4 linked regions of the Drosophila melanogaster genome follow. The protein of the gene in region 4 interacts with the protein of the main gene of each other region in a pairwise test. Each region holds a gene or a part of one and is shown on either strand. Other genes may lie near its edges.

Evidence for each region.
Region 1: the proteins of Mst84Db (region 4) and CG7017 interact in a two-hybrid assay, tested with the Drosophila melanogaster proteins (one large-scale study listed by BioGRID).
Region 2: the proteins of Mst84Db (region 4) and tyf interact in a two-hybrid assay, tested with the Drosophila melanogaster proteins (one large-scale study listed by BioGRID).
Region 3: the proteins of Mst84Db (region 4) and Pvf2 interact in a two-hybrid assay, tested with the Drosophila melanogaster proteins (one large-scale study listed by BioGRID).

Annotation. Positions count from the first base shown.
Region 1 is NT_037436.4:20,207,453-20,215,735, forward strand, and holds CG7017 (uncharacterized protein), read right to left. Parts: upstream 4,671-8,283; 5' UTR 4,582-4,670; coding exon 4,572-4,581; intron 4,301-4,571; coding exon 3,231-4,300; 3' UTR 2,840-3,230; downstream 1-2,839. Other genes in the region: CG6996 (uncharacterized protein), read left to right, coding at 173-176, 416-1,506.
Region 2 is NC_004354.4:4,113,599-4,122,576, reverse strand, and holds the start of tyf (twenty-four), read right to left. Parts: upstream 5,028-8,978; 5' UTR 4,682-5,027; intron 4,614-4,681; 5' UTR 4,298-4,613; intron 4,222-4,297; 5' UTR 4,160-4,221; coding exon 3,560-4,159; intron 2,864-3,559; exon of another isoform or gene 2,282-2,863; coding exon 2,153-2,281; exon of another isoform or gene 2,137-2,152; intron 2,076-2,136; coding exon 1,341-2,075; intron 1,124-1,340; coding exon 647-1,123; intron 514-646; coding exon 1-513. Other genes in the region: Tip60 (Tat interactive protein 60kDa), read left to right, coding at 5,725-5,784, 5,852-5,978, 6,033-7,257, 7,363-7,575, 7,648-7,648; dgt4 (dim gamma-tubulin 4), read right to left, coding at 7,783-8,349; Nsun2 (NOP2-Sun domain family, member 2), read left to right, coding at 8,973-8,978.
Region 3 is NT_033779.5:7,079,315-7,088,431, reverse strand, and holds the start of Pvf2 (PDGF- and VEGF-related factor 2), read left to right. Parts: upstream 1-3,796; 5' UTR 3,797-3,950; intron 3,951-4,703; 5' UTR 4,704-4,808; coding exon 4,809-5,246; intron 5,247-9,032; exon of another isoform or gene 9,033-9,117.
Region 4 is NT_033777.3:7,362,188-7,369,131, reverse strand, and holds Mst84Db (Male-specific RNA 84Db), read left to right. Parts: upstream 1-3,504; 5' UTR 3,505-3,556; intron 3,557-3,609; 5' UTR 3,610-3,626; coding exon 3,627-3,851; 3' UTR 3,852-3,972; downstream 3,973-6,944. Other genes in the region: Mst84Da (Male-specific RNA 84Da), read right to left, coding at 2,953-3,105, 3,161-3,199; Mst84Dc (Male-specific RNA 84Dc), read left to right, coding at 4,603-4,770; Mst84Dd (Male-specific RNA 84Dd), read left to right, coding at 5,516-5,734.

The sequences.
Region 1 (8,283 bases), on a different chromosome or scaffold from region 4:
TCCAAAATTTACAGACCTTTCGGAAAACCCAAAAGTAGCGAGGGCATAAGCATTGTCTTTCGATTTGTATTTATTGGCGAACTTGGATGGCATCCAGTTAGACGTTCTTTTCCTCGTTAGCCGTTAAGAGGTACTTGTATCTTTGGAATACTAAAAGTTTGCTGAACTCGAGATGGGTGAGTATCTCTGGCACTAGCAGATATCCATCGAAGTAACTATATTGTTGTTTCGAGAAGAATTACCATTTCATAGACAGATATAAATATAGAAAACCGTAGACTTAGGCTCAAGAAGTTCATAACGAAAACTCAAACATTTATTGAAAAAAAAATATGCAATTTAAATCGAAATTGAAAGCATACTTCACTTGCAACTTATTTCGAATATCGTACTTATACCCTTTTATGCAAAACAGACACAAAGCTCGCCTTCATTTCCGGACTCATCATGATCCCCACGATATCAGGCGCCCTGACCTTCAATGCAACTCTAATATGTAGCTTGGTGGTCAACGGAACCAAGATGAACGATCCTCGGGCGTGCAACGCGTGGATTCAGTGCATCGATGGGAGCCCTGTGAGTGGTAGCTGTGCGACTGGACTCTTCTACGACCGGGAGAGCCAGAAATGCCTGAGTTCCAGTAGTATCAAGTGTCTGTCCAGTGATCCGTGCGCTGCTCTGCCCACCGGATTCGCGGCTGATCCGTACTCCTGCAATGGTTATTACTATTGCAAGGATGGCAAGGGGACGCACGGAGTGTGCAACACTGGGATGAATTTCAATTCGGGAACGCAGGACTGCATCCGCGATTTTCCGTGCTCGAATAAAATGGACCCGGATAGCTATTGCAACATCTTGCCGGATGGGGTCTTCGTCAAGGACACGGACAACTGCAATGGCTATCAGTTGTGCTGGGATGGCCAGGTGATCAATGGAACCTGTCCGGGCACCTTCTACTTCAAGGCCTCCACGGCCCAGTGCGATTATCCGCAGAATGTGGAGTGTGACTTCGTCCCAGTGCCAGATATTAGCAAGAAGGGTGTATGTCCAGAGACGGGTGGATTTATATCGGATAACAAGACCTGCAATGGCTACTACTACTGCAAGGATTTGGGCAATGGAGAGTTCTCGCTGGAGCATGGCGTCTGCTCCGATGGAAGATTTTTCCTGGCCACCGATGGCGGAGCCTGTGTCCCGCGATCCAAGGTGAAATGCGGCTACGATCGATGCGTGGGCTTGGGCAATTCCACCATTCAGCTGGCCAACGAGTCGGATGATGGCTGCAGGGGCTACTCGATCTGCCAGGATGGCATCGTCATTGGCCAAGGAACTTGTCCGCAGGACGAGTACTTCGACGAAATAACCCAACGGTGCACCACCCAGGTCATATCATATACCGCCTGTCAGATATCGGAGGCAACCACCGGGTCCCAAGTTCCAAGTGGCACCACCACCACCACCAGCAGCACCATCACTAGCACCACCATTGCGGTCCCGGTGTCGTGAGCAGCTCCTCATAAGTATAAGTAGTGCTGTTATCAGGCCCAAGTCCCATACAAATTATAGATCAGCTCTTTGTTTAGATTTCGTGGAATTGATCACAATACAAACATCTGAATTTTCAAATGTATTTAGGTATAAAAAGATTATTTCGAAAAGCTTAGTTGTACGATTAAAAGTTGACTCATTTGTGAACCATCCGAGCCATAATATAATCTTATCCCGCCTGCCAGAAAACGTCGGCTGATGAATGGCACTATCAGCAATATTTTGGTCTCGTGAGCGACGTACGCAATCAGTTTTAATTAGACAGTTTGTTTTTTCGACGCCGATACAATAAATATAAGTGGTGTAATCAGGCGCAATAACGATTAAGTTACCAGATCACCTCTGGGCCAAGATTTCCTTGAATCGATTGCCGAGCAAGACACTCGGTAACGTGAAACCGTGATGTCATACTCAAGAACACCACTTGGAAATTTGGCGATGGGAAAGTACCAGGGAGGTAGCCATTGGATCCCATTCATGGCCCATACATGGGTGATATCACCGTTTTTAACAACTGCAATAGGAGATTTGAATGGAAAAGTACGAAGTTATCGTACTACAAAGTTGATTATTCAAACCACTTTATTCATTAGGCACCATATATGTACATGTACATATGTCTATGAGGTGTCATAACAAGATAACTTATATTATTGAGTTTTTCGGAATTTGTTATCGTTATTTGTTATGATCAATAAATACTAATACATTATAGCGAGGCTGCAAAGTTGCCCCGTTTGTCATTTGAATACTTGACCTTTCCTACATACAAATCAATCATCCGCCCTGTGGACTTGTATAACTTCCTTCTTAAAGTGGACATAATTGATTTCTATGGAGAACGAAAGCGCGTCGATGCATTTCATTTGCATTTCACACTCATACAATATTTGTGGACCTAATGGGTAACATCGACCCTAATAGTTGAATTTAATTAGTGATAGACAAAAACGACCCTTGGGCGTTGGATACTTCTTGCTCGCCTGATGGCCAACACGGAAATAAGCGATCGCGGCAGCTCCGAGTAGCGAATTCATTATCTGGACTATCTGGAATCGGTTTGAAATTCTCCGAACCCTCCACTGGGGTACAATTTTAATTAAAACTGATAATTTTTTGGGCACTGCAAGTGTCACGAAAACAGATTGCCAAATATGAATCGTTGTGTGGCGCAGTTTTGATATCAAAAGGGTTGCCAGAAGAATTTTATCACGCCAACTTCGTTTCGCTAATGAACATTTCCGCCAATGTAGTTCAAAAATCAGTCCAAAAAATCATAGTATTTCTCTAGCATTATTTATACCAATTCATATTTTATTGTTCAAGGTTAGGGTAACATCTTCTATAAAGAGGAAGCAGACGGTAAAATTCGAATGGAAAGGGAATAAAACTACAATAGAGCCAAATGCAATGGATAAACTATATATATATACATTTCAGGTTTCAATGGAGTAACACATTTATTGGACATTTTTCGAGAAGCTAATATTTGTAGACCCATTTCCATGGTAAAAAGTAAATGGATGAATGTCATAAAACTTAACACTTCCCACCACAAAGTACATGAATTCCTTTCAAGCAATGCATTTGACCTCCACCATGAATTGGATCGATTTATTGGATATTTAAATTGGATGCGATTTGGTAAGGATTGTGGTAAGGATGCGATCTTCTGGGACAGCCTACACGGAACATGCGATGTTGTGGTAGTTGGTCTGTGTGCATCCCTGGTTGCGCTCGTCGAAGTAGTAGCCCGTTGGGCACTGGCCCAGGCTGACGGTCACTCCGCCGGAGCAACGTCCATAGCTCTGGCAATCGCCGGCGACGTTTACGTAGGTGATGTTGGTGCCCACACACCTGTCCAGCTGGCAGCGTACGTTAAGTCTGTCGCGGCACGAGAGCTTCTCGAAGTCGAAGTACTGGCCAAGTGGACAGCTCAGGTGCTTGGGCTCCGTGTCGTGCTTGCCGGCGACGGGGCTGCCACAGATATAGTAGTGGGAGCAGGACTCGTCGTCGGCAAAGTAGCCAACGCGAGCGGATCCGGTGGCACTGTCCAGGCAGAAGGTGTTTTCCGGTTCCGGCAGGGCGGCACTCTCGTAGCAGGACACCTCAGCCACATCCACGCAGTAGCCGAGATTAGCATCGTAGGCACTGGCCACTGGACAGGCTCGGCTGTGCAAGACCTCGCTGACGCACTCGTAGTACTGGTCACAGTGGACGGGATCGGCCAGACGGGTGTTGTTCGGCAGGGATCGGCAGGCGGGACTGGTCTTCTTCGTCTGGCTGATGGGGCAACGGTACTGCTTTTCGTACACGCAAGACCTCGATACGGGATGGAAGATCAGCTCGTTGGGACAGTTGGCCTTGATCTGCTTGTGCGACTTGCACAAGATGTAGCCGCGACAATCGCTGCTGCTGGGATCCACGATGAAGGCGCCTTCCGTTTCGTTGGCGCACAGGTTCGTGGCCTTGTCCGCAATGCTGTCGGCATAGGGACACACCGCGGCGCTGGAGGATGCCAGGATGCAGCGGCCTAGCTCCTTGTTGTAGTTGAGTCCTGCGGCACAGCCGCCCTGCTCCAGCACGCTGTAGTTGCTGGCGCACCGCACCCAGTTGTCGCAGGTATTCGGTCGCAGGAAGCTTGTCTCCTGCGGCAGCAGGTCGCACATCTCGGCCACCGATAGGTATTCAAAGTCCTCGATCACGCCGCCCAGGGCGCTGGCCACAAACAGCAGCGACAGGACACCGCTAGCTGCAAGTAAAATCGAAAATCGTGGGAACATTGTGTCAGGAACAGGATGGCATATCCAGTGTGCTTTACCATTTATTAACCCCAAACATGTGAGTCAATTTTTAAATTTAAACTACGATAGCTGGTACGAAAATTACCCTTCTGCCAGAAAGCCCTATCAACTTAAAAACTTAATGTTTGAATTTAATTTATATGTACATTTTTAAAGAGCAATTCTTTCAAACGAAATCCATCACTGTCAATGTTCAGCTGGCGTCCCACTTTAGTTTACCTCTATTCATGTTTTATATCCTTTGGTTAACTTGTATCCTGGTTTCTCGAACGCCCCGCTGCGATCTTGGCGGCACTCACAACTCAAATGATACTGCACCTTCGGAGGCTGGAGCTCTTAAATATGCAAAGGCCATTCTGCTCGGTTTTGTTCGGCGAAAAACAATTTCCAAAATGCACACGCTATCTCAATCAGAACTCCAAGATAGCGCTGATTTTTCGTTCTTCGATTTTTGATTTACTGATGTACGATAGCGGGGCCGCATGTAAATTACACGGCAATAACATCGGAATTGCCTATTTCGCAGAAGAACAGACTCCTGTGGTGGCGGTGGTATCGCATCGGATTGATAAGGGAATTGCATATGTCACGCCAAGATCTCCAAGATCTCAGCGCCATTGACGGTTCTCGAACATCTGAGAAACGCTGGAATAGTCATCTACAGACCGAACTCCCAATCTCATCGAATATCTTAATTCGGAGTTCGGACCAATAAATGAATTGCTGAACGATTTCTGCGTCAACTGAGCTCTTCGTCATGTCTCTTTGAATATTATTATTATTTTTTTGTATCATTTTGTTACCTATAACTATGCTATATTATACGATACCATACTAGAATATACTATACTATACTTTAGCCGCCGTTTACAGAAGTTAATATTCTAATACAATTTCACGTGTCTCTTTTATTTTTGATCTGTCCTTTAGCTTGGTTCAACAGCGACTGACTGCCGCGCTCTCTGCAGAGTGGCGAGTCGATTAGTCGATAAGTTTCTCGATAATATTTGTATGTTAAGGATGGGTGTATGAGTGTATAAGCTTATGACTAGATTGGCTATGTATAATTAGGTATGTATGACTAAGAGTAAAGGAAGAGGGTAGAAGGAGCAGCCTACTACAACTCGGCCGTCCTGACTACTAGATCTCCCGATCGTAGGATTTTATAACAATTAACGTTTCTTAAAGCTAAGGGTCCTGTTTCTTATTTTATTCTTCTTAGTGGAGATACTTTTGAACGGTCTTAAACATTTTTTTGGTTTTCTTTTCTTCTTGTTTGTTTTCTTTGTTTTACAATTGCTTCTTAAATTATACTTTCGATTTCGTACAGAGTTTCTTAAATTATACTTTCTATTTTGTACAGAGTTTCTCAAATTATACTTTCTATTTTGTACAGAGTTTCTCAAATTATACTTTCTATTTTGTAGACTCTTAATTTTTCTTTGCCAGTGTTTTATATTCTGTATGCTCCATACACCCCGGTAAGGATTGCGAGAAATTTGAAATCCATCAACATCTTCCAGAAGGAAGCGATCATTTTTGAGAACTTTGCTTATGACATAGGGTCCTTTATGCTTTGGAATTAACTTCTTAGCTATGCCTGTTGTTGAGTCAAAATTTTTAACCATGACGTAGTCGCCTTTTGTGAACACTCCTGATCGTTTTCGTTTTTTGTCAACATATTCTTTATTGTATGCTTGTGCTATTTTCTGACTTGCCTCGCCTTTATTTCTAATACTTTCTAAATCTCTTTCTTCAATCGTTTCTCCAATTTCCTCAATTTTTTCTTTTAACTCATCCATAATTTGTCCTTTTTGTTGTAACCCAAATAACATTATGCTAGGATACTGTTTAATGCTGCGGTGTAGTGTATTGTTCAGGGTATATTCGACCTTTTCTAAGACTAAGTCCCAGTGTAGACCTTGATCAGGTTCAATTAACTTGCTAATCATTGGACCAAGACTTCGGTTTATACGTTCAACTTGACCGTTGGCTTGTGGCGATCCTGTTGCAATTTTTATGTGTTTAACATTGCATTCTTTCAAAAATGAGTCAAAATCGCCAGACGTGAAACATGCTCCTCTATCTGATATGATACACTTAGGCCTACTGTATGCTCTGAAGTAGTCATTTAACGATTGTATGACTTCTTTTGTGTTCGTAGTTTTTGTTGCGTATAGTCTGACAAACTTTGTGAATGCATCTACTATCACTAGAATATGTTTCTTCGGTCTAGCCAAGTCTACTGGACCATAATGGTCAATATGGATTATTTCAAAAGGTTTGTTTCCCTTAGGTATGTTGTGTAGAAATCCTTCTGTTTTTCCTGTTTTGGGACTGAATGAAATACATTTTAAACAGTTGCTGATATGTGTGCTACACTTCTGTTTTAAATTTGGAAACCAATAGTTTTTCATTATAGCTTCTATCATTTTGTCTCTTCCTACGTGTCCAAGTTCGTTGTGATATTTGTATAACACTTGTTCTTCCATTTCTATCGGAACGTAGAACAGCAATCTATTTTCATTTGTCTTTTTGTAAACTATACCATTTCTCATCTCATACAATTTATTTTCTGTGTTTTCTAACAATTGCCTGATTTCTTTTAATTTTGTATCTTTCCCTTGACATATAACTAGATTATCTTCGAAACTGTTTGTTTGTATTACCATAATATTTGTACACCTACTCAGTGCGTCAACATGTTGCATGCGGCTACCTGCCCTATGCACAATTTCAAAATCATAACCTTGGAATTCTAAAGCCCACCTGGCTATCCTAGGGTTTAGCTCTTTTTTGCTTAGGGTCAAAATTAATGAGTTGCAGTCGGTGACTATTTTAAATGTCCTCCAATGAAGATAAACTCTAAATCTACGTAACGAATAAACAATGGCTAAAGTTTCTAACTCGAAACTGTGGTATTTTGATTCAATATCTGTTGTCCGTTTTGAAAAGAATGAAACTGGGTGCCATTTCTGGTCCTCCTTCTTTTGCATAAGTACAGCACCGAATCCAGAAGAACTTGCATCACAATGCAATTCTGTTTCGTGTTTATGATTGTATATAGCTAAGACCGGTGACTGTATTAATTTATCTTTTAACATATTAAAACAAATCATTTCTTCACTACCAAATTTGAACGGTTTATCTTTTTTTAGAATGTCATGCAATGGTTTAGCTAGTCTAGAAAAATCTTTTATAAACCGTCGAAAATATGAGCATAATCCCAAAAAACTTTGTACTGTATGAACATTATTAGGTATTGGGAAATTTTTTATTGCCTCGATTCCTTTGTCATTGGGCATTATGCCGTCTTTATTTATTATGAACCCAAGATATTTTATACTCGATTGCATAAACTCACATTTGTCTATTCTTAATTCAAGTTTATTTTCAACTAATCTTTTAAAAATTTCTTTCAACGTTTCTAAGTGTTCGTTTATATTTTCGGTTGCCAATAGAATGTCGTCCATATATACTACTACTTTGTTTTCTCTAATCATATCAGCAAAAATTTTGTTAACAAATCTTTGGAACACAGACGGGGCGTTTTTGAGGCCAAATGGCATTCGCAGCCACTCGTATTGGCCTAATGGTGTAACGAAAGAGGTGTATTTTATTGATTCTTTTTTAACATGCACGTGGAAAAAACCGTTTTTAAGATCGAGTTTGGTGAAAACAGTTTTCTCATTCATTCTATCTAACAAGTCATCTATAAGAGGTAGAGGATAGTTGTCTTTCATTGTCATTTTATTAAGTTTTCTAAAGTCGACGCACATACGTAAGTCTCCAGTTTTCTTTTTCACTAAAACAATAGGCGATGCATATTCCGAGTCGCTTGGTCGTATAAATCCGTTTTCCAAATATTCGTCTAATAGTTTTTGTAACCTGTCTTTTTCTGTGTATGAAAGCCTCCTAGGAGAACAGCTAA
Region 2 (8,978 bases), on a different chromosome or scaffold from region 4:
GCGCTGTCCAGCGGCACTGTTTCCGCCACCGTTGACATCGTTTTCAATGTACTTGACGAGCTGCTCAACAGGATCATTGCCCCTATAGCCGGCAACCGACTCCACATCGACGGTGGTGGTGTTGCGCTCCTGCTGCGACTTCTTCTTCGTCTTCTGCTTGGTGGGCTGCTGCATGCCAATGCCGATCCCAGAAACCGTTCCAGCCGCGCCTCCGACCGGTGCCTGTTGCAACTGGCTGTAGGATGCAGCCACCGCCGCCGCTGCCATGGCCGTTGTTGTAGTGTTGGTGCCCGTGGAGAGCAGCGTGGAGACACTATTCTGACGGTGAGCGACAGTAGAGGTGGGTACACTGGATCCCACCGTGGGGGTTATTAGAGCTGTGAACTGGTTTGCGTTACCGTTGCCGTTGCTACTGCTGGCGGCAGCACTGGCGCCACTGGCGCCACTGGAGCCACTGGCTGCACTGCCCCCGAAACCATCGCCCAATGCATTTCCATTCTCGTCTAGCTGTCGCTGTAATAAAACAAAAAAAAAATAAAGAATGATGTTGTAAACATTAGAATTCTCGGAGTTTGTATTAGCAGTCGAAAGAAGAGTCACAAGCTGCACTTATAGTTCTGTAATTATAACCCTTATGTTTACTCACAGTAGTCGTCTTGCCACCCATTGGCGCAGCTGCCACTGCCGCTGCGGCGGGGACCATGCGTCCAATCTTCGCAGGTCGCAGATCGCTAGACAGTGCGTCAGAGGAGGCACCGCAGTTGCTACCGCCAGACACGGCCGAGGAGGAGGTAGAGGGCTTGCTGCCCTCCACGGCAGCTGGCGAACCTGCACCGCCGCCGTAAACTGAGGAGCACGCCGTGTAGTTGTCGTTGAGCGACACGTAGCCGGCCTCTACCTTGCGCTTCTCCTCCTCCAGGCCGAGACCAAATTGTCCGGTGAGGGCGGCCAGGTATTGTGCCTGCTGCTGCAGCTTCCTCCTGGCAGACAGCTCCAGGACGGAAAAATGCAACCGGTCGTCGATTAGGAACTTTTTGCCGGCACCGGTGTACCTGGCCTCCAATGGCGTGTCGTTTAGGGCGTCAATCAGAAACTTCATCGAGGGGTTCTGAGGATCCAATTGCTGTACATGAAATTGAAAGCGGGGGAATTAGAAATGTATGTACACAGCCCCATCTGCGCGGATCCCAAAATCACGAGATTAATCACAGAGTGTAGGTCGATGCAAGAAGTTTGTCTCTTACAAACTCGTTCGTTAGTCGATTTAGATAGAAATCAATCTACTATGTGAAAGATTATCTAATCGACAGTAAATGGCTCCAATACTTGGCATCGCTTACCTCCAACATGTTGTCGTCTTGGTCGCCGCTGGCACCGACAACGGCGCTGGCACCAACACCCGTCGCATCGTCCATGTCCAAGTCGAACTGATTGTTTGCCTCCGTATCGCGCGATTGAGTTATCAGGCTGCTGCAACTGCCGGTGCTGCTGCGGTGGTGGTGCTTGTTACCGACCGACCCCGAAAACGAGCCACCTGCAGCTTCTGTCGAAGGCTGAGCCTGTTGCTTATTCTGCTTGGCTTCCATGGCAGACGATGCCGGCTCAAAGTTAACACTGCTGGGCAGGCTGCCTCCTTCGCGCTGCCGGCCCGAGACGTTTAAGTTCTTGATCTTTTTGGATGCGGATGCGGAGGAGGTGGCGTTTTGGTTGTGCTGCTGTTGCTGCTGCTGCTGCCGGCGATTGGAGCGACCACTCAGCTGGTAATCACAGTTGAAACGTTGGGTTGCTGCCGCTGTCGCTGCTGCTGCCGCCGCCGCCGAGGTTGTGGCCAGTTCGCTGCGGTGCGCCGCCTCAACGAGATCCTGCAGGGAGCCGCCCTGCTTGTGCCGCTGGCCGGGATCCGTTGACCGGTGATTGGTGGAATTATAGCTGCTGTTGTGCCCTGCACTGCTGCTGCTCCCGCCGCTCGAGCCTGTTGCTGCACTGGACGTTAGTGCGGATGGGTTGATTGTGAGGCAGGATTTGATGGCACGATAAGAGATCTCTTCGTCGTACTCAGCCTTTTTGAGCATTTGCTGCAGGCGTAAAAGACGTGAAGCAGAAATATTTATACACACATATATATGTTGCACATACATGAGCCAAAACTTACCAGAAATCGCTCGCTCTTGTTCTTCCTGTCGCCAGGATTTCGATACCAGTAGGCCTCTTCGAGAAGTTTCTTCAATGATGCGTCGTCCAGATCATTAAAATCGCTATCTTCCCAGGTATCGTATTTTGTCTGCAAAAGCGTCGAAGAACAATATTTGGCAATTAGTTTTGCAATTTTTCGGGTCATCAACACGAACACATATGCGTGTAAAACAATAATCGCTGCGACTTAACCTAAAAAAAAAAAAACAAAAGAATTCGGAGCTCCACTTATTCCAAACACATGCCCTTCTGAGTTCCTTATGCGAACTGATGAAGTACCGACCGCAGAGCAATAGAAGTATTAAATGGCACACGGTTCCAGTAAGTAAACGCTCTACATACGCACACACATGTGTACTATATGGTGTTGCACACGAACACAAGAAAACAGAAAAAAAAAAAAAAAACAATAACTGAAATAATAACGGGAATAGGCGAGAAGTTTTCGTGGTTAATGCCGCGGATGTCACCAATGCTTTTATAAGATAAACAAACGCTTTGCGGTTTTATCCGTTCCTTCTGCCCGATTCGGGGTCTTGATTTCAATAATTATCGAAGGCGCTGGTCAAAAAACCGACTGCGATCAGAAATTGAAGTTCCTGTGTGGCGATTACTTGATGGGACCAAATGTAACGGCACTATTTCGAAAGCCACAATCCCAGTCAGTCAGAACGAGATAACAGTATGCTTGGTCTATTTCTACATCATTTTCGAATTCTTTGCCATTAACTTCGTAAACGGTACTTTGGCTTCTATTCGCATACATATATGTATGTATGTGAGTATGTATTCATTAGGGGGATGCAATTTGACTGTCAATATTTATTTTTTTTTTAATAAAATTCGGTTTTCGATAAAACAGTGTTTGTGAGTGAGTAATCGGCTCACTTAAAGTTTTTTCCAAAGGTCATGTTTTAAGGGGATTTCGGCATTTTCATTTTCGACAACTTTAATGGACCGCAAGCGTAAGAATCTATTTTAGTTTATAGCTTAGTGTGCAAATAAACAATATTTATATCTAATTTATGTATACCTTGGTTTTGGTGGTAACGTAAAGATCGGACAACTTGCTGTCCAATACTGGAATTCCACCCAAAATCGAAATTAGTTTCAAATTTTACGTTTACTTAGTTGTTTCTCAACTTAGTCGCCCTGGTAGAGCTCTATTCAAGCCTGGCCATGCATAAGATATGGAGTCCAAACACCATAGAGCTTTGGAGCCTCCAGAACGTACACAAATGTGAAATTTTGCGAGTAACAAACATAACTATACCTTTTTCTTAATAAAACAATATCTTAACTCGGTTTCTGCTTAACATGCACTATATTTCCACCTTAAGATGCAACTCAGCCAGAGCGCACTTACCTTTTTCTTCTTCTGTCGCTTGCCGACATTCTGATCGTCCTGGGTCTTGCCCTTGGCAGTGGCTCCGTACTGGAGTACCCTGCGGTTTGGTCGCGACAGTTCAGCGCTGGGCGAATCCTTTAGCATGGCAAAGACCTGCGAGAAGGACGTATCTCCTGCTGCTGCTTCTGCTGCGGATCCTTTGGCAGCGTCTGCCGTGGCTGCGTGGTTACCAGAGCTATGGCTATTACTAGGGGATGATGACTTCTTGGGGTCATTGCCTCTGCTGCTACTGCCGCTGGTGGCTACATGGTTGGCAGCCACTGGTGCCGCTCCTTGGCTGTCCTCGTCTTTGGCCCCCTGGTTCCTACAGGCCTCGTCAAGCTGCGCGTCTGCCTTCGCCACATGGTCTGACATCATGGTCATAAGCTGCTCCTGTGGGAACGGCGTCGGCGTTGTTTTGGTGACGGTGGTCGTCGTGGTGCTCTCGCTCATCGTGCCAGCGGCAATCGAGACGATGGGCGTGTCCGGTATGATCGTTGGCAGTTTGGCAGCTGCTCCACCAGATGCCACACGATCCGCCGGTGTGTCCGATGATGACGGCGTTTGTTCATTGTTCATCTTCTTTCGTTTGGTGGCATGCAACGAAGGAGAAAAACAAATGCCATTCGAATTCCTCGAATCTGTTAGGGCGTGTGAGAAGAGGGGAATGTTTGTTTTAGTAAACGGGTATATCTCGCATTCCCATTAACTGCTTACAAACTGTTTCTTCTCTTCGCGATGTTTCTAGGTAGCCCAGCTGCCCAGCCGCCGTGTGGTTGCCACCGCGACTGCAAGTGCTCTGCAGGCTGTTCCGCCGATTCCTAACGATTCCTCTCGACTTCCAGACGGTTTGAGGCACAGGGGAGCCCACCTATTGCGCATCAGTTTGGACTCCTGCTGCACTTGACAGGCCTGTCGTCAGTAGCTCTCCTCCGGCTCAAACCTTTGCTCGCGGCATTTACGTAGGTTCCTGGGCACGGGGATGCGGATTGCTCGCAAACAGACCGGAATACGGAAATGTGTGCGCACGGATCTGCAATTGATTGGGAAATGGGGATGAAGTTGAGACTAAAACTGAAACTGAGACATTGGACCACTGACTGGGTGTTTTGCAGCATTTGTTGTTGTTCTGGTCATGCGGACGAGCGACAAGGGGCGGTGGGTGGTAGCAGGTGCGTCTGTTTAGTCTTTGGCGACCCCTTGCGGCCCACTGACTTCGAATTTCTTTAAAAAGCACTGGTCTCTTTCCATATTCATTTTTTTTATTTTTTTTTTTTTTTGGCTAAAAAGCAGTGTTGCTAACTACGCTGCGTGCCAGGGTTGACAAATGCTGTTTGTTGTTTGTAGGGGCAAGCCGTTGAGATTGCTAAATCGGCGTTTGCTCTAGGCTTGCATCTTACTAATCAACACGAGATTGCCTGCCCGTTTTGCAACTAATTAGTGGGATATGCCCATCGAGTTGGCAGCCCTGCGGCTGTTGTCAGTGGCAACACTATCGCAAAACACGTCATTTTGACACAGCTTTTTCACCAATTTCCCGCTCAGCTCGTCAGCATTGGGGCACTGCGGCACAGTTGCCCAGCAGTTGTGGTCACAATTACCCAGTAACTGAAGTTTTCCGCGGATCACAGTAGTCATTTATTGATAAATACGCCAGTCGATGACAGCTGTATAACTTTCTGCGCACTCACACGAGCGCACACGAATGTACGCACCCACACACACGCACACAAATTTACGCCTGTGTACATTTCTCTGACCTTCTCAGCGTTTTTATTTTTTGGTTTGGCAACTGAAAAGAAGGGAGCACATAACTGCGCACTCAAGTTCTAGCAACTGCAATTGAGTCGAACGGTTGTGCTTAATATGTTACAGTTGTTTGTAAGCGGGCGAAATTGTTTAATTGCACAGTAGGCACATGAGAAAAAATACCGAACCCGAATTGAAAAACTCTCTGGAATTGTTGTTGTGTTGTGCAGCACTTTGAAAAGGCGACGCGACGCTGCGCAGCACTGCCCATGTCATCAACATTTTTAAACCGCTGATTCACTGTGGCGGTAATCGATTGGTCGATAGTTATTTACGTTTCGCTATCTGGCAATACTGCTGTTTTAGGAAAAAAAAAACGCGTAAAATATAAACAAATGAAAATTAACCACAAATATGAGTTCGACGACGATGTGGCCTCCATATGCGAGTCAACGGTGGGTTCCGCTACGCCTTGGCGTGTTTTGGGTGTTCATTCTAATGGTTTTAACCGCAAACTTGCAGGCCGCCCTAACCGAGGGATGTCGTTTACCCGTCAGGATGCACAAAACGGACGACTGGCCACTAGCGGAGATTGTGAGCATCAAGGAGTTGGATGGGCGCCGGCAGTTTTACGTGCACTATGTGGACTGTGAGTACCAAGTCGTCCAGTGGGAGCATATTTAGTATAACTGCCAATCCGCAGTCAACAAGCGCTTGGACGAGTGGGTCAACGAGGAGGATCTGTACACGCGAAAGGTGCAATTTCCGCGGAGAGACGGCTCACAAACAGGCACCAGCACTGGAGTGACCACGCCACAGCGCCACCATTCCCTAGCGGGCAGCGTTTCTCGGCCTACATCACCGCAACACCCTGGTTCCGGGGCTCTGGCAGCCATCCCCCAGACTCCTACTGGTGCATCAGGCAGTGTTCCTCCCCCTGCTGGCATTCCAAACTCTGTGGCTCCACCCGGAACACCAAGCAGTGGGGGAGAGCTTGTGAATGGCAACAATCTGGCCGCAGCCCTTCAGAAACGCATCAATCGCAAGCGAAAAAACCACGGAGGCTCGGCCCATGGACACCACAGTCTGACCAGTCAACAGCAGCAGTCACATCCGCATCCTACAACTCCGCAGACACCCACGGCTACGCCCGTGCATGTGACCGGCGACGGTTTAATAAGCGGAGCGGCCAATGATGATGGTGATGGATCGCAGGATGGCAAGACGCCCACGCCGAGGCAATCAGGCAGCATGGTTACGCACCAGGACGACGTGGTCACCCGCATGAAGAACGTGGAGATGATCGAGCTGGGCAGGCATCGCATTAAGCCCTGGTATTTCTCACCCTATCCGCAAGAGCTGTGTCAAATGCCCTGCATCTACATCTGCGAGTTCTGCCTGAAGTACAGGAAGAGCAGGAAGTGCCTGGAGAGGCACCTGTCCAAGTGCAATCTTAGGCATCCACCGGGAAACGAGATCTATCGCAAACATACAATTTCCTTCTTTGAAATCGATGGACGCAAAAACAAGGTGTATGCCCAGAACTTGTGCCTGCTTGCCAAACTCTTTCTCGACCACAAGACACTCTACTATGATACCGATCCGTTTCTCTTCTACGTAATGACAGAGTTCGACTCGCGCGGCTTCCACATAGTAGGGTACTTCTCCAAGGAGAAGGAGAGCACAGAGGACTACAACGTGGCCTGCATTCTCACAATGCCTCCGTATCAGCGCAAGGGCTACGGCAAGCTGCTCATTGAGTTCAGCTACGAGTTGTCCAAGTTCGAGGGCAAGACGGGATCGCCGGAGAAACCATTGTCTGATCTGGGTTTGCTGTCCTATCGATCGTACTGGGCGCAAACCATACTGGAGATCTTTATCAGCCAAAACCCGAGCACGGACGGCGAAAAGCCCACTATAACTATAAAGTATGGCTAGTTCTAAGCTTAAAGTAATACAATTTTCAATCCACAGAGATTGTGCTTCATTGCCGAAACATAGATTAATCATGCTCCCAAAATTTTTCTTCACAGCGACATCTGCGAATGCACATCCATCAAAAAAGAGGACGTGATCTCAACGCTGCAGAACCTGAACCTGATCAACTACTACAAGGGCCAGTACATCGTGTGCATCAACCGGGTTATCATCGAGCAACACCGGCGAGCAATGGACAAGCGCAAGATCCGCATCGACTCGAAATGCCTGCACTGGACACCCAAAGACTGGTCCAAGCGCTCCAAATGGTAATCTCCTCATCTTCTCCGTATAAATAACTGAGTTTAAACAGCTTTGAATCCGTTTTTTTTTGTTTTTAGATTTCCGCTACCAATATTCTTCATCGGATGATCCTGGCTTCGTTGTAGCTTGTAGTTTTCATTTACAGTTTCCGTTTTTAATGTTATAAACTAGTTTATATCATACAATATTATATATACTTTTGAGACGACCGGCTAGTTGTTTGTTTCCCGCGGTGGGAGAAGATCCTCCACAAGGCGGTCCATTGCCTGTATCATGCCCATCTCCATACCATTCTCCAATCCATCGACGGCGGTACGCAAACTTCTTAGAGCTTCTTGGTTCTGGGCGAACTCCCGTTGTTGCCGGCATAGATTTAGGCGCGGTTTGTGGGTGGTGTTCAGATGTTCCAGGCACTGCTTCACATCGTTGGAGTCCAGAATGGCGGGACGCAGATCACTGCCCAGTTTGGATCGCAAACTAGCGATATCCTTGGCCGCCTGGTCGACTTGATTCACATCAGATACACGATGGGCATCCACGGCCGCCTGCAGGGCTCCGCACTTCAGGAGCCTCGCCAGCCGCCCAAAGTCCCGCTGATACTCACACTTGGCGTCCAGCCAAATGCGTACTTGCTCCTCCACCTGGCGCTTTACATTGCGGCTGTCTTCCTGAAAACGGCGCATCGCCTCCAGGTGCAGCAGGTATTGGATGTCGTCCATGGTGCCCTCAGTTGTCAATGATGGCGGTGTGGTCGTGGTGGGAGTGGGTGGAGTTTCCATAGTGGCTTACAAAAACTTCTTAGTTTTTAAAGTGGGAAATTCGGATTCGATTGCCGACGCTATCGCTTTCGCAGCTGCTATCGGTAGCATTTGAAGTCGGCTAACGGAGATTTTTGTAACGATAGGCGCGTAGCTATGTTCGAGTCAAATTTGGCTATTAATAACTATATAAAAAAAAAATGAAAATAATTCGAAAATGTAAATAACAACAAGATATGTAGGTTTCCTTACATAAACTAACAGGTTTTTAAAGTTTCTAGAAAACTGAAATAAGTTGTTTGATTTTGCTTACCGATAGTTGGGAAACCAGCTCTTATTGATTTTGGGGCTAAAAATGTAAGCCATGCAAATGAAGTTAACGTTTAAAAACAAGTCAATTCCTTGCAGCACGGAAACCAAGTACTGTAAAAAGTAATTCCCTTTCAATTCAATTTCACTTCTTTAGCAGCATATTTCACCTTCCCTTCCAAGCACCAAATGTCCGGCGACTCTCGCGCGACAGCGTTGCCAGTTAGGCGACGAACACGTTTTAACTATTCGTTTCGTTTAGAAAACACACAACGCTTGCCTAATTTTTTTTAAACATATTCAGTGGACTGATAACTTGGTATTGATATTGACAAATGGGT
Region 3 (9,117 bases), on a different chromosome or scaffold from region 4:
TGACGTCGAGCAACTGTCGCCAAATTGGTTTTGGCTTGGCGCCCCCGAAGAAAAGGAAATATATATATATATATATACACGCATATGAGAAAATAAAAACATTAGCACAGTTCGGGATGTTTTATATACCCAGCATATGCCGCAAAACCAAAAGACACCAAAGTGCCCGCAAAATGTGGCAGAAAATATGTAGTTTATGTGGTTTGCGATTCCATCTACAGATAGCACTTTGGGTGCCCTATAATAGTGTGAAGAGTATTAAAATTCGCAATATAAAACCATATAAGAGTGGACTTGGAGGTTTCAAGACATGAAAAGATGCAACATGAGTCATGCTATGTTGAACTGTTGACAATTTGAAATATAATTATAGTATAAAGTAGCTTGAATTGATCGATGTTAATATTCAAAATTTGAAACTGAAAAGCCTGCATCTCTTAATTTCGCAACTAAAATCGCAGCCCAAAGCAATCAAGAATTAGTTCTAGCCACTGTGCGATATACTTTCTTTTTGGCCGGAAGACATAAGCCAAATAAACACTTGCGCTGGCTGCCAAAAGAAAGCCGAGCAATTAATATCAATGGAGAGCCCACGCACAGAAAGCCGCAGAAATGGCATAAAAAGTGGCCGCAAGAACGGCCGGCAAATAATGTTGTCGTAAAAAATAAACCACAAAGGGGATGGGCCGCCGCCTTGCATCATCGCCAATTGCCAGACGCTATAAAAAATAGCTTTGCAACTTGTGGCGCGATGTCACGCCCCCTTCGCGCTACATACATATGTATGTATATGTCTATATATATATATATATATATATATCGCACATAGCGGGTACACATGTCTCATCGACTTCGTCATGGCCTTTATTTTTAGGTTGCTGCCTGCCGCCGTCATGTCTCGTTTTTCGTTTCGATTCTCTGCCAAATTATTTGAACGCTGCGTTTGATTTACTTGCAAATTTGCTGGCACAGTTTCCCGATTTCAGTAGGCCAACCAAGTCAACAGCCAGCTGGCCGAAACGGCTGCGAATTGGCCTTCTTTATCGCCACCTTTTGAGCCGCATAAAACAGCAAACAGGCAACCAGGCAATTTGTCGTGGCCACAATCTATTAAGCTCTGTCGTAGAGCATAAATATCGCGGCTCTTCTGGAGCTCTGATAATTTGTTTATTGTTTATGGGAATGGGAAGTTTTGCCACTTTATCTGAAACATGCTCTACGGAGTAAAAAGAAGAATTAAAGAATTATGTAGGTGCTATTGGCATAAAAGAATGCTGGCGAGACAAGCTATTTTATATACTGCCTTTGGGCGAATCACTTGGAGAATTCTATCTATATTTCAAACTGAAACTTTATATAAGTGCACATAGATTTGGAAGTACATATGTATCTTCAAGTCAATTGTTCACAAAGATCTAATATCTTGCTGGATTGTCATACAAAGAAATACCCATTTATGTATGACGTCAAGCAAATATTCTGTAATTTTTCCAAGGGCAGCGAGCAAAGTGCAAATCATGGGGATTAGCTTTCCCAAATATTCACACGTCCCAGGGCGAAAGATCTCGATGGAGCCATAAAAGGCATTTACAGATATTTGGTCTAGACAAGCAACAGCCACAAAGACAGACCAGACACATTTTTCACTTTCACTAATTGTCAATTCTGTAGCTCCATTGAAGGAAAACAAAACCGCAGACTGAAAACTGAAAACTACAAACAACAAATTGAAAACTGGAACTTGAAAGGGGGAAAAATGGGGGTCTGAGTGATAAGTAAGCGATCGCTTTTCTCAGCGCCCTCGCCAGATGATCCAGATATTATAGTATCTGGCACTTTCAAGAGCGGTATTTAGAGCTCGAATTCAGAATGAAGTTTGGTTGAGTCATTAGTGAATCACCGCATATTCTTAAGTTGTTAGAGAATTCTCGGCTGCATGGTTTTATAGTGCCTATTATGTATGATATTGAACGAAAAATCGTACGTCTATTTGTGGGGCCATTATTTAGTGATATCATCAGAAATACAGACAAAGACAGGATGTAGATAAGCTCGACGTACGCGATTAGCAGATTTCTTTGTTAGAATATAGCAGCTTTTTAGTTTTAACTTATACAATAACCATATATATACAATTAATATCAAACTGATGGGTTTGATCTCTAGTAAGACTACAGGAAGTAGAAAACAGCGATATGAAAATTTATCAAAATTTGTTTGCACAGACGGAGGTGACGAACTAAAAATTCAGATCAGGCGACACATATGCAAATTCCCGATCGTGGGTGTCTACAAGAAAACTCGAAAGTCGGGAATGTTGTGGGGGGCCAAACATTTCGGGGCGGCGTAGTGGGGAAGTGGGTGCAGAGGACTGCGGCATAGACGGTCGCATGCATATTTACGCTTGGTGTTGAGTGAAAAGAGAGTAGACAGCTACAAAACCAAAAAAAAAAAAAAAATTCTTCGGACCTATTAAAGATTATTGGCCTGGTGCGAAGTTAGCTACGCCCACGAACCACGCCCACTTGTGGCAGGGCGGGAGCATTCGAGTGTTGCACAACAATGTGTGAACAAGGAATGCATGCCTATGATGACGATCTCAGAATACCCTAACAAAATCCTAACCGATCATTCAGTGATCTTTATAATGTTATCATTACTTATAGTTTTTAGTTATTGAACATTGTTTGGAATTCGTTTCATGTACCTTAACTTACACCTTGTTTCAATGCTTAAGTTTGCACTTCAATCCAACATATTTTCTGCCTTAATTAGACAGACTGATATGCCCAAAACGAAAGGGCATTCAAGTGTTTGTTTTGTGGTCCGGCTTGATGTTTTATCGGAAAAAGGGGTAAAAAGTTTTTGTCAGCCCGACTGATTGACGGTAGCGCTGAAAGCTGTTGTCCATCATCAAAACCAGAGAACTGAGAATGGAGTAGAAATGCCCCCAGTCTCAAAAAAGAATTCCCGACTCAGAATTTCCGAATGAAAACTCAGTCCGTGGATGCAGATCTGCTTGATTGCCACGCTCACTTGACATATGTATATGATTAATAAGATTTATGGGCTATTAGCAGAACCAGCCAGTGGCCATAAATAAGACAAATCCGCGAGGATTCCAGTCCTCAACGGCAAACGTGTTGACAGGCGGAGCAAGATCTGAATGACCAGCTGAATCACATCGTTACGAAATCGAAAAAACTCCAGCTTAAAGTCTGTCTTATCAATAGACATTCCCCTTATTTGCCTGCAAATGAGGCATTTATGTTCGCCACCACAGCCAAGTGGCTAATCACTTCTATTTATAAAGTGTACCTAGATAGGCTGGAAAAATAATATAGTATGTTAATTACACATTGGAATTGAAAACTCTGTTACCATTAACATTAACATAACCATTAACATAAAATCATGATTAGCGTCCTAAAGCAAACAATTGATATCCCTTAGTTACTCAGCTAAGAGAAGTAAGTGGTACTACAATATAATTGCTCATAACATATTTAAATGACTCTATTGGAAATTTCTCCACACCAACATTTAGGGAAACAAGGACGAACAACCGGGCAACGGACCATAATATAAATTTACAGGTATGTAATGTATGCAACTACTTTAATTGGTATAAATACGATAAGTATTCAGATCATAAGTAGATCAGTAGATAAGTAGATGTCGCGATGACGTCACTATGGCAATCTCAAAAGTGATTCCTCTCCCAATCTCTGTGAGAGAGAAAGGCGAGCAGAGCGCAAGCTTTTTGTGGATCGCTTCTGTGAAACGGCAATGCCGAACAGTTGTACGTTGGAACTCGAAGCGATCGGTCGCATGCTCCGTGAAATTCAGCACTCAAGCTTAATCCTTTGAAACTAAAACGGCGTCCTTATAAAAATTAAGAACTTGATGAAAAAATAAGTGCAAGGAGTTATAAAATAATCTGTTAAAAAGTGAGCAACAAGTGAATCCTTTGTTAATATTTTTAAATGAAAAATTATAGGCTCATCGAAAAAAAAAATGAATTGACAAAGTTGATGAAGCACAAATTTACAATAATTGCATTTCACAACTTCGCGTAAAAAGTTGTAATGGAAGTTAGTTGTAATTTAAAGTTAGTTAAAAGCCGGCTTTTAATTAACAACTGAGTGTACAAAATTATTGAACAAAACAAATAAAAGGCCTATTGCAAGTGATGTGCTTGTTTTATGTTTTTGAGCAGCGGCTATAAAATGTTTATTGTCTTTCTGGCAATGTCTAACAGTTTGAAAATCGGACAGCCACAAAGAGAAGTGTAAATAAAAAACGATTGAGTAACAAGTTGTTTTATTTTTTATTTCAATATTTTTTGCATCAGAGAAAACGCCGGTTCTACGCAGCTGCGCGTTAAAAGCAAAGGCGTGTGCCAAAATACAAACATTCAGCTGCCAAAAATATTTAGCAACTTGTTAGACTCGAAAAATTCTCTGGCAAGTTGGAGCATAAAATTAAAACAAAATTAAAAAAAAAAAAAAGTTCTCGCAAAGTGCAATTAACGGAGCAGAAAAAATACAATGCAAATGAGCAACTATAGAAGTGGAAAATAAAGTGAATAAAACGAAAAAAGTACAGCTATTTAAAACTTACATAAAAACTCTACGAGAATAAATAAAACTAATAAGAAGCCAAGTGCCTAATATATGCGTATTTATTATTCTTATTTGCAGAAAGCGGAATATGAGGATGCCAATATAGAATTATCGCGATCGGAGTGCTAATCAATTAATTAAAAAAAAACCTAGAACAAAACTAAATAAATACAAAAATATTTCATGCAATATTTAAATATGAATCTCGTAATATGCAATCTCGTGCTGGCGTTCATCGTCATTACATTTTCGAAGACGACACACGCTTATTCCAGTTTTCCAACTGACATAAATAGCAATTACTTCGACGTGCGGAATTCGACCTTGCCCATGACCATGACCACCTCCCATCCACAAACCAATCGTCCTCTCGCTCGCTACGTTCTCCCCCCAAACGAGTTGCATACCGCGGACGAGGACGAAGAGTCCTCTGACTTAGAGCCGTACTTTGAGGATCGAGCGGTCCAGCGGGACAGGTCGTATCTCATCCGATTGATCCGCCGGCGCGTGCCACGTGATCAGGCCCCCCAGCAAGTAATTCTTCAGGGCCGCAGTCTCAGTGGCGTTCACTGGGGGCAGGGCGACGACAATCATCTCAGCTCCGATGCGGCCGTCGATGGGGTGAGTACTGTATCTCTAATCTGGGGACACACACGAGGGCAAACACTTCAGGCGAACCATAAACGTTAAGTCCTGCTTACTCGCCCCATACAATTTTCTCATCATGACATTATCGAGACGGTCAAATATTTATTTTCTTTTTTTTAATGACACGTTAAGAAACTTACATATATGAAGGTAAAAACTAAAAGAAGTAGAATAGAGTATCTCTTGTTGAATAATCTAACAAATTAAGGGAAATCTCTTGTTGAATAATCTAACAAATTAAGGGAAATCGAAATTTAGCATCGCTTTATAAGCTAAAAGAAGAACGGAAAATAACAACAGCCACAATTTTTTCCAGAAATGAGTCACAGCCATTTTTTTTTCTGATTTCTTTGGTCGACTCTCGATGAGTTTGTCAAGTATCTGCAGTAGCTGCAACTGCTTGTTGCGCATTAGAATGGTAATCAGAATCGGATCGCAACGAGATGGCTCACCTTGAACCCCACAGTGCCCGTAAAGCGACGGGTGACTAACCCTGGGACTGGCAATCGCTCCGTTCCGATCTCCGATCTCCCTGGCGCTCCACTTACCCATTGCGGATCGAGGATCGCAGATGCCACCCATGTGACTTGCCAGTTCGCCAGTTCGGCGAGATGAGTTACACAACGGCGGCAATTATGAAACGTGTTGCGGCAGGTAGGAGCTACCAATTTGGTTAACAAGCCAATTTGGCGGTGTGCAAACGGGAGCCAACATTATGCTCACATCCAGATCCAGATCCCGATCCCGAAGAGAGATCTCTGCCCAACAATCGCTTTCGGTTTCACTTTCCGGCCTGTAATTGTGCCGATCAGAAAGGGGCAGAACCTGTCGCTCTGCTGTTTCATTTTTTATGGCAATTTTTTTTTTCGTCTCCATGGCCGACAGCTGGTTGATGGCAATGAAACGGGTTGCAAAGGGTTTTTGGGATGCTAAAGACATGACTTTCCGTTATGGTGGTCCCTCGTTAATTGGCCTAATTGACTTGACAACTTGCAACGGCTGCCGCCGCCCTTTAGGGGAAATCAATCGTGTGTCTAAATATGTGGGATTTACTCTGTTTAGGAACAATTTCACTGATTTACATTGATTACTCGTAATTGAGATGGAACATCATTCAATACTCATATGAGTTTTATTACCAATTAATACAGATTTCTGAGAAAAATCGATTTTGTAGAAGAAGGGTTTTGCCAAAAAGTAACTCGATTGATGTATGTATGTCGAAATGATAAAGCGCATAATTCTGAGTTCCAAAAACAATGCTTTTGCAAAATCTTGGAACTGATACAGGGGCTGATTAATGTTCGCAAAATGAGCATTTCCAATGAACTTTATAAAATTAAGATCTCTTAAATTTTTTGGTTTATTATATCGTTGGCTTGAAAAAAAAAAATAGTTTTCTTTTTATTTTTACTTGCGTGAAATTCGCAAGAATCGACAATCCACAATATTGCGCAAGTTTTGAATATATACATAGCTTCGGATTTCCCCAAAGCTGACGACAATCATTTTTAGATTCTGCGATTAATCGCTTATCAGCACAATGCTGTCGCTTTTTATTCCCCGTCGCAAAGTCTGGTTTGGATTTTCACTCTTATCGCTTGCACATTTGAATGCAACTACACGCATAGAAAAATTCAATCTCGATTTGAAAATTTTTGAACTCAAAATCTAGCCAAGATCGACTCATGCTCAGCATACTCAGATCAAGAGTCTTAGATTGCAAGATGGTTTCTTCTCATGAGAACAAATGATGCCACCGACACAACCAATATCGTATTTTTCTGGGTGTATCGCATGCAAAGGTGCGATAAGGAGATATGGAGAAAATGGGTAATCGTTATGTGAGGGGGGGATGGGGGGTGGGGGAGCTTGTGGCATATGCACTCAGGCGGCATAAATAGCTTATGGTCTGTGTTCATGATTGTACCTTGATATCCCTGATATCCCTGCTCACATTTCCGACCGCATCCTTTGACCTCTGAAAAGAGGAATTTAATATCTGCTCGTCGGAACTTTGTACTTGGTACAAAGTCCCCCGACCACACCCACTTTCCGTCCGCCTTTTCGCCCTGGAAAATCGCTGTACTTGCCACTGAGCTCGAACTACCCACATGCCATTTGAGTTCTCCCTATGTGTTTACCTTTGCCAGTTTATTTGCCAACGCATTCCGTGTGCATAACTGCACTGAGATTAAGAACCGCGAACGGGCCCTATATGTTGGCCAAAATATGTTACTTATGGCACCGGGTAAAAATAACCCTGCTCGAATGAAAATGTTAATATAAGCCACACAAATGGGTCAGCAACAATTCTAGCATTGCAAACAGTCAGAATGTGAAATCGCATCGACTCAATCGATTAATCATCAAGAACTTAGTTGCTCCAGCAGCAGCAAGGTTAATGAAATGTAAATCTGCACTCGTATTTATAGGCAAATGTGCGATTAATATAACTTGATCTGGTCGCTAGCACACGACGCACAATCGTACAATCGCCATAGTTGAATGACTAGAAAATGCCTTTATCAACAAACAACACACGGGCTTAGAATAAAAGGAGGTTATCTGCGGCTGGCAAAGAATGTGTGAGAATTCTCAAGAATTCGCTACTATTTGCTCTTGAACTTACTGTGTGATAAGAACTAATTTACAAATAATCAACAGCAATTAATTATAGCAATTAGTTATTTCGGTTGACATTTAACACAATTTATAATATCATTTATAGTCAATTCTGAGATTAGTACATTCGCAGTGAACTTCGAAAATAAAATCATTTCACTCTCACTTCGAAGGCGCATCAAGAAATAAACAATGTTCTCTGCGCCCCATAAAAATTCTATAAAATTTCTATCCACAGCAAATCTGTGTTGACTCCGTCTATTGCCACATAGAGTTGAACGATGAAATCAGTTGCCACGCAGCAATACGAATTTTGGGGATAATGTAAATGTCGGCAAGATTTCTGATTTATTAGCAATCTTTTCAAAGAGTTGGAAAAAAAAAGAAACTAATGACGGTCAAATCGGCTTATGACATAATAGCAAACAGCTTTCGGGCGGTCTACAAAGTACTCGTATGTCAGTGATCTAAACATGATTTATGGTCCACAAGAGATCAAGTATTTCACGCGGAAGCTCTGCATATTTATGACAAATCTATAAAGTTTTATGTAATTAATTTCTAGTCTGCGACACATCGCCTAATGAACGGGGAAAACTAGTCGCCAAAAACAAAAAAAAACAGCATGAGAAAAGGTGTAGGGAAACTAGTCGCCAGACCAATAAATTAAGTGCAAAGAGTTCACGCATTTCGGCGCGGCCGGCCATAATTAAGTGGACGCGACTGTACGCCTGGCTGATTGATCGCCGGCGAGTTGTTGGCCATTAAACGGGGCATGCGCCAAGAGTCACGCAATTAAGACCCACCAGCGAATATAAATCATGGCCAAGACGAGGCCTTAATACACTCCTCGCGAACATAAATCATATCAATTTCTTTGTTCTAAATTTAATGGCGATTTCTCCCTTCGTTCGTTAAATTTTCCGGGAAAGTACATGATCCAGGGAAAGATGAAAGACATTGTAAAGAATTTCAAAGTGTATTTCATTTATCTTTTTTTCGTTATAAATCACATTTTTGGATTATGTATTTTGAAATTCTTATTCTATATATATATATATATAGAATAACTCCATTCATTTTTTATAAGTTCAGCGGACCCATCTACACTGATAAATCCACGATTTCCGTATATTCCATCGTTTGTTTGCTCACGAGTCTCGCAACAAAGTCAATATTTCCTTTTTCGTCAGTCAGTGTATCGCCTTTGATAAATTCA
Region 4 (6,944 bases):
GATCCAAACATTTTCATCATAAGTCCGATCAGCAAAGAAAACCGTTTGAAATTGAATGAGCTAATTGTATCCGATACAAGTTACCCAATACGTGCAGTGGATTATCTTCGGCAACTTGGTGTGGAGACAGTAACACGTTTCGAAAATCAAATAAATTCATTTAAAGTAATTGAAAGAGATGTCCATTATATCAATGGACCTAAGTCTCTTAAAATAATTATTCAAAGTAACCTTTACCTCAATGAAATAATCGAATATATAAATAAGACAACGGATAATGTGAATGAAATTATTATCAACGCATATAAAACGGTTGAAAACCAGCAAATTGCGCTAGACAACCTTATTTTTAATGGGAAGTCGCATTTAAGATCACTTACATTTATTGGATTTCAAATTGAAAACTTATCCACGAAACCATTTGCTCAGTTTATTAATCTCAAAAGGATGGTTCTTACCAATTGCACGGTTCGGAATTTGACATTTTTAAGGTTTGTAAAATTGATTAAAATTATAGCTTCCTATACATTGCTCTCTCATTAAGTTGTTTGCAATTCAGTATAAATAATTAATTTTCTATTACTAACTCTATTTAGAACTCTTCAAAAGAGCCTTGAACATTTGGAGCTGGATATCGACAACGAGGTGGATTTAAAATACTTTACAAACTTTTCCAGTCTCAAATTTATGAAGGTTAGGAACTACATTCCCAACAAGAACTTCACAGCTTTAATATGCACACACAAAAATTGTAATTTTATCCGTGGAATCAATGGGTTAGAATGCCCTAAACTTTGCCAATGTCTCTATATAATTGATGACTTGGAATTAAACATAGACTGCAGCAATCTGGGTCTTTTGCAAATTCCGCCCCTACCAATTCCAAGTTATGGCGGTGTGAAGTTGAATTTTTCCAATAATTCTCTCTCTCAGTTGCCAACTATGACTTTACCTGGATATAAATTGGTTAAAAGACTTGATGTTTCGCGGAATAGGTTAACCAACTTAAGTATCAATCACCTTCCAGCGAAACTGGACTATCTTGATGTAAGCTTCAACGAAATAATTAATATGGGAAACGATGTAATCAAATACTTAAGAACTGTCCCCATCTTTAAGCAAACAGGCAATCAATGGACTATTCATTGTGATGACAAGCCGTTATTAAATTTCTTTAGACATCTCAAATTGATAATACGGATGAAAAGTGCTGAAATGAAACCTATGTTCTTGCACTCGTTAACCGAATTACCTAAGGGGTTTTTGAAGTTTTTGGGAAAGCACTTCATTTGGCTAGGTGTGAGAAAACAAGAATACTATTTGATCAATGAGGAACAGTTGTTGCAAAGTATGCATCGCAAACTAAACAACCTTAATACAATTATGAGCATCTATAAGTATATGGAATGGCTTCACCGAAAACTAATATTCGTCAATCGGGAGTATGATCTATTTTATATTCGTCAAATGGCAGCCCCCTGTCCTCATAAGTGCGAGTGTTGTTATAGCCGCGATTCACTTATTTTAAAAATAGACTGCAGGAATAAATTTGTATATAACTTTCCCGATATCGTTGCTAGAAATAGTCGTCTTATGTGAAAACAAAATATGTCTAGTCCTATGGAACTGCATTTATCTAAAAATAATATATCAAACATAACCATCGCAATGCTACCAAAGGAACTAAGGTTTCTTGATCTACGTTTCAATAATCTCGTTACCCTGGATGACAAAGTCCTGAGTTACCTTAAGAAAAATTCAATTAAAACTAAACTTTCTGGGAATCCCTGGAATTGCGACTGTAAGTCGAGATCAGTCCTTTCCATTTTGAGAGATCACGAACCCCTTGAGTATGACGTCACGTTGAAACGTTGCAATATATCTCCAACGGATTGTCCAGATGTTTGTGTCTGCTGCTTGGATAACTTGACATGGCCATCATTTATTGTCGATTGCAGAGGAGAAGGACTTCTACAGATGCCTTCACTTTCAAGCAGGGTTACCTATGTGGACCTAAGGAATAACAACCTTACGGCCCTGTCACAGAAGAATCGTTCTTCTATCGAGAACAGATCGTTAAAGCTGCATTTGCTTGACAATCCCTGGTCTTGTTCTTGCAACGATATAGAAAAGATAAATTTCATGAAGAGTGTGTCTTCAAGTATAGTAGACTTCACTGAGATAAAGTGCAGTAATGGTGAGAAGCTAGTCTCGATTAATCAGCATATTGTGTGTCCATCTGACCTCTTTTATTATTTGGCACTCGCGATCTCCCTAGTGGCCACGATCATTGCCTTAAACTTTTTGATATGGTTCAGACAACCGGTCCTGGTCTGGTTCTATGAGCACGGTGTGTGTCTCAGTCTGTCAGCCAAGCGGGAACTTGATAAGGACAAAAGGTTCGATGCCTTTCTGGCGTTTACCCATAAGGACGAGGCTCTGCTGGAGGAGTTCGTGGATAGGCTGGAACGTGGTAGGCCCAGGTTCCAACTCTGCTTCTACCTGCGAGACTGGCTGGCGGGCGAATCTATTCCCGATTGCATTGGTCAATCTATAAAGGACTCGCGGCGCATTATTGTCCTCATGACAGAGAACTTTATGAATTCCACTTGGGGTCGCCTCGAGTTCCGACTGGCCCTCCACGCCACCTCACGCGATCGGTGCAAGCGTCTGATAGTGGTGCTCTATCCAAACGTGAAGAACTTCGACAGTCTGGATAGCGAGCTAAGGACCTACATGGCATTTAACACCTATCTGGAGAGAAGCCATCCGAACTTTTGGAACAAGCTGATTTACTCGATGCCGCTACTACCAAGCTACGTTGACTAGGACATTACATTATTAATTTCAATAAGAAACAAAAATATATAATTTGTTGTCTCCCACACAGTTTATTTTTTGAGATTTACATAGTTCCCGGAAGTATTCCGACAGGTTTCCGGGTCAACTGGTTTAGCAGCAAGGACCGCAACCGCAAAAACTGCTGGTGCCGCCGCAGCAAGGTCCACATCCTCCGCAAGGACCACAGCAGGGGCCACACCCACCACAGCAGGGGCCACATCCACCACAGGGTCCGCATCCGCCGCAGGGGCCACAGCAGGGGCCCTGATAAATCATATTAAAAGTATTCACTCGACTTACGAGACCGATAAATACATACCCCAACCAAAACGTAATTCGGGTTGACGTACATGTACATGATTTTGTTTCTTAAAAGATATTTCCCAACCGGAATCGAAAGGAACCGAAAATTTAGGTGTTAACTATTGAAGGTGGAACGGAGAACTGACTGAATGTGATCCAAATTAGCCGAAGCTTCATTTGACAGCAGTCATGAGAATTTCAAGGCTAATATGATCCGACAAATTATATTCATTATTATTATTATATTCTGGTATCCCAAAACCCATAATCTAGTTAGCTATGGATATTTTCGACAGTTGTCAAATTCATATACCAACTTGTGAGTCAGGTTTCCATCATTCTTATTTTGGTTCTCGGCCTGTAATCATCGAAATATTTTTTCGTCCTAAGTTATTTCTTTGTTAGGTTCAAAGTGAGTATTTCTCAAAGTGTAAGCATGCGAAGTTTTAACAAAATTTTTCTTAGAACTTTACGGAACCATCATGTGTTGCGGACCCCTTGGATTCTGCGGACCCTGTAGCCCGTGCGGCGGTCCTTGCGGACCTTGCGGACCCTGTGGTCCTTGCGGTTCCTGCTGTAGTCCTTGTGGATCTTGCTGTGCGCCTTGCGGCCCTTGCGGTCCTTGCGGTCCTTGCTGCGGGGGCTGTGGTCCATGCGGGCCTTGTGGACCTTGCTGTGGACCTTGTAGGCCATATTGCGGGTGCTGAACAACAACCACAACATGTAAAATATCTTTTTCCTGTGAACCACAAAGTGGAACTTAGGACTGAATGCGGATAAACTCTTCTTAGCTCGCGGGCCTAGTCAATAAAATAAGAATTTCAAAATACCTTTTCCGATGGTTTTTCTCTTCTAAATGGTGCAACCTTTGTCTTAGCTATGGATACCAAATGCGTGACAATAATAATTTATGTAATATAATTGCGAAAATTAAAATTGTCAATTCTTGGTGGATTGCGATCGTTAGAGGGGGCGGAGGAACATCCTACGTTCATATCGACTAGGCTTGTGATCCAGCTCAAGAATAAATAACCTTTTCTTCTATTCACTATAGCATAGCTATTACTCTACGAGTGGCGGGTATAAAACCTGCAACCGTGAATTTAAACCTCATTCAATAATAGTATTTGTCTGCAAACGGACAAATGTCCGATAACAATAATTCTATAACAATAATAACTATTTTTAACCATCAACCGCTGTACATAAACATAATTCGAATTCATAGTAGGCTATGGAAATCGTTCTTGACCTGTCAGACCCACCTAACCTTGTAAGTTCGGAAAATATATCATTCTCATCTCGACCCTTGTGCTGCTCGCATCAAAATTTTGTTGTTTTGTCCCAAATACTTGTTTTTTTTTTTTGGCTTCTAAAGACCGTTGGTAAAAATGTTTATTGTAAAGTTAAAATAGTATACATATTTATTTCGTTTATTTTAGACTTCTCGAATTAATCATGTGCTGTGGACCTTGTGGATCGTGCTGCGGATATTACTGCTGTGGTCCCTGCTGTGGACCTTGTGGACCCCGATGTGGGCCGTGCGGATCCTGCTGTGGACCCTGTGGACCCTGTGGACCTTGTTGCGGACCATTTGGCAGTTGTTGCGGTGGCTGTTGGTGCTAAATGCTCGCAATTGGCAGCCGAATCGATTTGTGAAACCATACCACAATCCCACCATGGTTAAACTAACACCTGAAAGTTAAAAGCCACAAATATATATATATGTATCTTAATGCAGATCCATGTTATCATTGGGATAGTTCACCATTGCTCTTACTCGGCGTTACTCGTTGACATAATAGGAATGCGTTTCGTAATATGTATGTGGGTGTAGGTTTCTTGATCAGGAACACTAGCCGGATACTAAGCGAGCAGATTGTATTGCGCTGCGAGCACAAGTTGCTATATGGAAATGGTTGAGACGTTCTTGGTAATACCATTTTATTTTACACGAATGACGTCTCAAGGTGATTGATTCTGCCTTCCGACGAGCTTCACTAGGACGTTCTTTGTTGTTCCCATCTGGATCAGTTGTACTGCTTGCTACGGCAGGACATTTTCTTAAGCACGTTATTGTAAAATTCACTAAAGAACAAAATTAAATTCCTTTTAGGGCATTGATATAAAATTTTTATTAATTTTGCATTTGTTTATTTTAAATCTAGAAGGCTTTGAATCTATATTCTACTTTCCTGTGCAAGTTCTATGTAAGCAAACATCAGTTTTCATCTTTCCCTTAACCCAAGAACATCAAAATTTGAGCTCTTTTCCAAGCTTTTTAGGTTCAGCACTTTGTACGTAGTTTTTTATTTAAGAAAATTGTTGGTATAATAGCTTTTCTTTTAGTTCTCAGAAATTAAAAAAAAACATGGGCTGTGCACCGGGCGGACCTTGCTGCGGACCCTGTGGACCGTGTTGCGGACCCTGTTGTGGACCCTGTTGTGGACCCTGTTGTGGACCCTGTTGTGGACCTTGCGGGCCCTGCTGTGGCCCCTGTGGACCTCGTTGTGGCCCTTGCGGACCCTGTGGACCGTGCTGTGGCACTATGGAAAAACGAAATGGCCTTCAGCGGTGCTGTCCTTTTTAGCTGTGATTTCCCGAATAAGCAACCAAACTGTGTCCAAAAAAAGATTTCATTAGTCTATTGTGACAAATAAAGGGGAACTATGAAAACTATCAAATTAATGGATCTTAGCAGGGAGCCAATGTAATCATTGCAATTTCATTCATTCACACTCCGTACAAGAACTATAAAGATTACTGCTTTTCCTCTGCTACCTTTGCTTCACAAGCCGATGACGAATGACAAGCCAATCCAAAAAGGCAGTAGCTGAAGAGAGAAGCAATCTCCATAGGACAATCACCATAGGACAATAGACCAGGCTAACACTGAAGCCTGCGGCAATACATTCACACACGTAATAGTTGCATTGGGCTTAAAAGGAGCAGTTGGTTTATGCCAACATGCTCAGGTAATTGGGACGATGCAGTTGGAAAATAAAAAGTAATCCTGCCCTTGCAGCAATTAAATTAGCCAAATAGGGGATGTTAATTAGTGTCAAGTACCTTGAAGTAAATGGTGCCAAAAGAGGCGTGGCCGAGGCCAATCAAAATGATTTCCAAGCAATGTTACTCATACGCCCCATGTAGCTGGTCCCAGTCAATTATTAATGGCTGCTCGGCGCGAGTGCAGACTGCTGACATCTCAATTCAGGCGAATTGTTTATAGTATGCAAGCAATAGGATGCCAGAGGAATATCTGGGGAACTGATTTTCATCATTCATTTCGCCAGTCGACTTTTCCACTTTCCACGCTGAATAATGAAGGCAGCCATTTTAAGTGTGCGCCTGCGAGGCACTGGCTCTCCCGATGACGCAGTTAAGGGAATTCTCGGATATGTAAGCTTCTAGCATTTAGGCCTCATACAAATGTATAGCGCATCCTGTTATATGAGTAGCAGACGAGCAGGATAATCAAGTTCCGGAAGGGGTCGAATTAGAGCTGCCTGCCAGAATCGCAGTCGAAACGCTTAATCAGTGCTATATGCAAGTGTAATCCTAGAACTCGCATATGCCGCAGCCGACTATTGCTGTACTCAGGGAATTCGGGGTCAATCCCTGCAGAAATGTTCGTACCAATTCAGAATATATGTAGAAGTTAAAAATCTGCGGTTTTGATACTTTAATACTTTCTCAATATACTAGAGCACTATATAAGTCCTAACTCCTCATACAGATATATATATTTTGGATCATGTGAAAAGTTTGTAAAGTTTAAATATAAAGTTGAGAAATAT